2 linked regions of the Saccharomyces cerevisiae S288C genome follow. Changing the gene in region 1 together with any one later gene gives a genetic interaction. Each region holds a gene or a part of one and is shown on either strand. Other genes may lie near its edges.

The links. A genetic interaction does not mean that the proteins touch.
Region 2: mutations in YPR015C (region 1) and TAO3 together harm fitness more than expected from each alone (negative genetic interaction), as found in Saccharomyces cerevisiae (one large-scale study listed by BioGRID).

The regions. Positions count from the first base shown.
Region 1 is NC_001148.4:589,622-592,871, reverse strand, and holds YPR015C (uncharacterized protein), read left to right. Parts: upstream 1-1,845; coding exon 1,846-2,589; downstream 2,590-3,250. Other genes in the region: TIF6 (translation initiation factor 6), read left to right, coding at 1-540.
Region 2 is NC_001141.2:111,320-115,080, forward strand, and holds the start of TAO3 (Tao3p), read right to left. Parts: upstream 1,919-3,761; coding exon 1-1,918. Other genes in the region: MET18 (Met18p), read left to right, coding at 2,487-3,761. UniProt on the Saccharomyces cerevisiae protein: Seems to play a role in cell morphogenesis.

The sequences.
Region 1 (3,250 bases):
CGTAGAGGTCTGCTAGTTCCAACCCAAACTACTGATCAAGAATTACAACATTTAAGAAATAGTTTGCCGGATTCCGTTAAGATTCAAAGGGTAGAGGAAAGACTATCTGCCTTGGGTAACGTCATCTGTTGTAATGATTACGTTGCTTTAGTGCATCCAGATATCGACAGAGAAACTGAAGAATTGATAAGTGATGTACTAGGCGTTGAGGTCTTCCGTCAAACCATATCAGGTAATATCTTAGTTGGGTCATATTGTTCTTTAAGTAATCAAGGTGGGTTAGTGCATCCACAAACAAGTGTCCAAGATCAAGAAGAATTGTCCTCCTTATTACAAGTTCCTTTGGTGGCTGGTACCGTTAACCGTGGTAGTTCAGTTGTCGGTGCCGGTATGGTTGTGAACGATTACTTGGCAGTTACAGGTCTGGATACTACAGCCCCAGAATTGAGTGTTATTGAAAGTATTTTCCGCTTGCAAGATGCCCAACCAGAATCCATTTCAGGTAACCTACGTGATACTTTGATTGAAACCTACTCATAGATGTCAGGTACTCCTGAGGGGATTCCCCTCCTTCCTCAAGTCTGTTTACAGTTGTATGCGAAAGAGTCCCCATGTTGCAATAATCTTCTTACGTATCATTTGTGGTATTTTTTTTGGTATAACAAATATTTTTTCTTAGGTTTCTATGCATTTTAATTTTAGTTGTATGTATATTATGTACTCTTTTATTTTTTTTTTTTTTCTTATACCTATGGGTGACTATTCATTGCAGTTTAAGTAGGCGTCTTAATTGTAACATGTAGTCACTTTGTTCGAAGCATATGTAACGGGTTTCTAAGCAAATTCTTTGCATAATATGGATTTTCCGTCCGCTTCTCCGACTATTCTGACAACTTGCTCAGTTCCAAGTATCTGTTAGACAATATAGAACTTCTCCAAGAAAAATTGCACCGCACGTAGACCATTTGAAGGCTTTTTTGTCTAGCTGCTAGGACATACTATTGTCTCCACCAGAACCCGGAGAGTAGTATCTCTTGGCAAAGATTAATAAAATCGAACAAAGCTAATAGAACACCGGGGGTTGTGCGGTAAGATTTTCACAAGCGGTACAGAAGTGAGCCGTAAAATTATATATATATATATATATATATGGTGTACAACAAGTCAGCCGTCCATTTATGTGCTATCAAGCGAACTACGTTTCATCTCTTCAACTTGGTAGTTCTTGAGATATAAACACCCTGATCCATCGTACTCACTGAAATAGCAACAACTCCCTGAGTTCCATTGCCACGCATACCCACTCTCATATCCAGAAACAGCTAGTATTTCGATGTTTTTCCGCTCGAAGAAACTTCCGTAGTATTGTTGAGGTGTTGGGGGCATCGTTCCTTTTCGTACGCCAAAAATTCTTCCTCTATTGTTTCCAGAAAATCGTTGCAAAAAAATAAGTCCGCCACGCTGTTTTCTGTGACAACTCTATCTGGAGCCTTCACTAATGGTTTAAAAGGCACGATTTCCACAGAAAGTTTCGCAGCACTTGTTTGTACAAGGAGCGTAAAGCACCGGAAATCTTTTCCCACTGAAACCCTAAATATGAACGGCATTTGGTTGCCATGAGATACAGTCCCAAGAATTCTTTATATTATATAAGCGCTAGTTGTTGTCGCTCTTTTGACCTCATTGGTAGATATTTCAAATTACAAAATTATAATTGTTTTCTTGGTCCAACTTTTTTCTTCTTTTTGGAGGGCATTGCAAGGATCCAATACGATAAGCAAACGTCTTCATTGACCCGTTTCTAACTTTTAATATACATAAATTTTCATCTTCAACACTAATTAAATGTGGAGAACAAAAACGCTAGAATCTATGCTTTGTAGCCCAATGAAATGTTCATCGTCTAACATAGGGGGATCCTATGCGCAATCTTCAAAGGAAGTCTCGAACACGACCAAAAGGGAAGTGCATCTTCCACCTTGTTCGTCGATTATGCACGCTCCACTTACTCCTGAAATAAACCAGGCCGCACTACCACCTCCCGCTTACCATTACGCACCTTCTTCTCTGCATCAGACAGAGGATCCCGTATGGAGATCAAGTCCCAACTCTATTATCTTTTCGCCGGTTATAGCAACACCGCAACCTTTCCCTTTAACGTTCGTTGAACGTCAATCTTGTTGCCCTATTTATTCAACGGCAGCTTCCTCTTATACTGCCCAATCTGTACCTCCATCAATGCAGCATTTTCAGGAGGAAAACCACAGAGCGGTGAGCAACGAGCAGTACTCCCTCCCGAATGTGCATATAGGGCAAAATCCTGGGACGCTATTATCCCAAACACAAACCGACTTAGATCTTATACAAAAGCAACTGCGCGCTGTGGTAAAGCTACGGAAACAATGTCCTATCTGTGGGAAGGTTTGTTCGAGACCTTCAACACTGAGGACTCATTACTTAATACATACGGGAGACACACCTTTCAAATGTACTTGGGAGCATTGCAACAAATCTTTCAATGTCAAGAGTAACATGTTAAGGCATTTAAGAACCCATCAAAAGAAAATAGCAAAGAAAAAACATCAGTGAAAGCATTGTTTAGAATATTTTGTTTTCAGTGTGATTTTGATGTAGGTGTGACACTTTTTACCAAGTAAAATGAGTATAGATATGTATTAGTTCCATATAATATATTACATGTAGCCAACAATCAATTTTTACTGACTTCCGATTTTTGAATAGTGAGAGGATTTTTGTTCGAATTATAATTTCTACAAGAAATTTGTTTGCGAATGCATCAGCATTTGTAATACGGTTCTATACTGCCGCACGATACATTTTATTCTGTCTAGTTCGTAAGACAAAGGACCTTTTCATTTAGTACAACGTTGCCGACACGGATGTCTTGATGAATCTCTGTACCAGGAATTCAATTACCTGACTAGTATGCAGTTCACTATCAAAAAAAAAAAAAAGGTTAAATTGGTATAATCATGGTTAAAGAACAAACAGCCTCTTTCCTCTACAAAAGTATGTTAAATGTAGGTAGTTCAAATTGCGGTCACGTATATGCCAACGTTGTTAATATATAATGATCCATTGGAACAATGAAGTTTACAGAAGCTCAAAATTAATGCAAGAATAATTACGTCAAGGGAGTCATAACAAACTAAGAAAACAAAGGAATTTGACTAAGTTTGAGCGCAATGATATATCCATGCTTGATATTCTGATTCATACATATCGTTTC
Region 2 (3,761 bases), on another chromosome or scaffold:
CGTCTGTCAATGGGTTCAAGAGACCAAAATCGCCGGTTATCCAATTCTCTTTTTTCCTTGTGTTTAGATATAGTTGTAAAAGCTTGGTAAGCGTCCTTGTAGTATTATTTAAAGTTTCTGGGCATCTATATAAATAGACCCAAACTAATCTGGATAAACCAACTGCAAAGATAATCCTTTCATTCAGACTTTTGGACTTAACTTTTGAGGCATTTGCCTCCAACAACGATAGCCATTGTTTAGAAAATAGGTCTGGTGGTGATGCACACAAAATAGAAACTGTTAATTTGAAACCACTTACCCAATACTTACTATCAGCTTGTAGCCTCTTGGCAGTGTTCAGTAAAGTAGACATTGCCTCTACCCACGTTGGATGATTAACTTCTGCCGTCAACGAGCCAGCCAAAGGCAACAATAGCTGGTTAGTGACTTCAGCATACGCCAAACAAACCGGAAAATTTTCAGTCTTTGCGAAGAACTTTGATAAACTTTTCATGAAATCTGCACTTTCTTCAAATTTCTCCAACGGATAATTTCTTAACTTCAAATATCTCATACCAAGAATCAACAAATGAGTACTTGGCTCTAACTCGGGAGGTATATACGCCGGGATTTTTTCTAGATCAGCTATAAATCGATCACTAACTGACAAAAATTTCTTTTCAGACATAGAGCCCAGTAGTTCGGCAAAAGAATTCCAATTCGAAGACTTAATTAAACTAGTTGATATAGAAAGTGGATCAGTAGTTTTTAACTGAGTAAAAACAATCTCTTCTAGCTTATCAGATAAATCTTCTTCTTCATTGCTGGAAGCCTGCTTAACAATTTCATTTAGCACCCTGCATAGGATGTATATACTAATCAGAGATTTCCTATCTGCAAGGAATGCTTCTTCTTTTGCTACTTCAATTGTGTTCTCTAAACTTTTCAATTGTGAGTTCGCTATGGATGGACTTGAAGTAGCGCTATTGTTACTGCTACTAGCTTTGATTAACGGAACTTTGTTGTTGAAAGATGAGGAAACGTGCCTTTTCATGCCAGGAAGATTATTGGTATTGTTATTATGTTTGTACTTTGAGGTTGTATTACTGGAAGATCTTGATAGCCGCCTATTCATTAAAAAATGAGCCTGCGAGGGATGTGCCTTTTCAAACTCATACTCTTTTAATAGTTTTTCCATTTCTTCTGAAGCAGAGTTGGCCGCTTCAGATTTAGTCTTCCTCCAAAACATCATTGCATCAATCACAGGTTTCGGTTTTTTCTTTGCAATGTGACCTAGAGATTTAATAATTTCATCAAAGCTGGGATCAACGCCTTCACCAAGAATTTCTACAATTGGGGGTTCCGCCATGTCCAACTGCTGTAGACACATATTTAGTTTGTTCTCCGCGTAACGAATAAACTTTGTAAAAAGTATATGAAGAGCATATTCAGAGGGACTTTTCCAATCTGTAGCCATTTGCTGTCTCAAAGTAGTCACGTAGTCCTCTGCTACTGATTTTGCTGTAATGTCCGGCGGTGCTGATTCTTGCATTCTTTGCTGCTTTTGTTCAGGTAGTAGCATTGAAATCTTGTTTTGATCACTTTGCTCCTCAACAAAGGTAGGCGGAAGAGCTTGACCTTCCCCCGTTCCTTGTTGCTGTTGTTGCCGTAAAAGTAATTGATTATTTAGAGAGGTGCCTTCAGACATATCAGTAGGAGATGGAATATCAATAATAGGTGCATCCGTAACGGATTGGTGAAGAGGAAATGTGTTAAGTGGCGCTTCGTTTATTTCCTCCAAGACATCCTGGCCTGAAGGATCAATATCTATTGATATCTGGTTATTGTTGCTAGAACCTTCTGCTTTATTTGTCGGTGGGAAGGTGAAACCAATGCCTTGATCCCTCTGGGGCGGGAAAGTAAATCTCGAGGCCATTTTGATGTATAACAAAACTAAAAAGGGTTATTAAAATGGGAACACAACAAACAACCAGAATTTTCACACTTTAACCAGTCACGTCCTATTATGAAGACCTAAATCCACATTTGCTTTCTCTCTTCATTTGCCTAATCCTTTATCCCAATTTCTACAGTTCTATATGTATTTTCCTGTGTGGCTGTCGTTTCGTGGTTAGTGATACAACCATAACGATTCAACCAACTCCCAATGTATGTGATGTTGATACCGCTAATTTGGAAGGGATGGTATACTCTAGGTGACCTCAATGAGTCAAAGAGAGCTAGGACATACTTCGAGATAGGTAATACCACTTTGCAGCTTCTTTTTAGGCCTTCATGAGTGAGTAGCCAAGAAAAAGTTAAAAGCGGGTAATAGGTATGAATTTTTCAAATACTGAAATTTGGTTTAGTTATTTAAGTGAATTGTAGATTATGTACATTTTACGTGCAATGAAGGAGTCACCTCTATGATCATCTAGTTATTAGCTGTTAGTTTTCATTGAACTTGTTTTAACTGGGAAAAAGCGGAACAATTGGGCCTTACAATGACACCAGACGAACTAAATTCAGCAGTCGTCACCTTTATGGCCAATCTGAATATTGATGATTCGAAGGCCAACGAAACCGCTTCCACAGTAACGGATTCTATTGTACACCGATCAATAAAATTGCTGGAAGTTGTCGTTGCGTTGAAAGATTATTTTCTTTCAGAAAATGAGGTAGAAAGGAAGAAAGCGTTGACATGTTTAACCACTATCTTAGCAAAAACTCCCAAGGACCACCTCTCCAAAAACGAATGCTCAGTAATATTTCAGTTTTACCAGTCTAAGCTTGATGATCAAGCGCTTGCAAAAGAAGTCTTGGAGGGCTTCGCCGCATTAGCTCCAATGAAATATGTCTCCATTAACGAGATAGCCCAACTTTTGAGATTATTATTGGACAACTATCAACAAGGCCAGCATTTGGCATCAACTAGACTGTGGCCATTTAAAATTTTGAGAAAAATATTTGATAGATTTTTCGTCAATGGATCCTCGACCGAACAAGTCAAACGAATCAACGATTTGTTTATTGAAACATTTCTTCATGTTGCCAATGGTGAAAAAGACCCTAGAAATTTACTCTTGTCATTTGCACTTAATAAATCTATCACATCGTCCTTGCAAAACGTGGAGAATTTTAAAGAAGACTTATTTGATGTCTTATTTTGCTATTTCCCAATCACTTTCAAGCCACCAAAGCATGATCCTTACAAGATCTCCAACCAAGATTTAAAAACAGCTTTGCGATCAGCAATTACTGCGACGCCATTATTTGCCGAAGATGCTTATAGCAATTTGCTGGACAAACTCACTGCTTCTTCACCGGTAGTGAAAAATGATACACTTCTGACGCTATTAGAATGCGTTAGAAAATTCGGCGGCTCTTCTATATTGGAAAATTGGACGTTACTTTGGAACGCTTTGAAATTTGAAATTATGCAAAACAGCGAAGGAAATGAAAACACTCTACTAAATCCGTACAATAAAGACCAACAGAGTGATGATGTGGGCCAATATACTAACTACGATGCTTGCTTGAAAATTATTAATCTAATGGCATTGCAACTATACAATTTTGACAAAGTATCATTTGAAAAGTTCTTCACTCATGTATTAGATGAGTTGAAACCAAATTTTAAATATGAAAAGGATTTGAAGCAAACCTGCCAGATTTTGTCCGCTATAGGTAGTGGGAATGTCGAGATATTTAACAAGGTCATTTCGTCAACTTTCCCCTTATTTTTGATCAATACATCTGAAGTTGCCAAACTTAAGCTG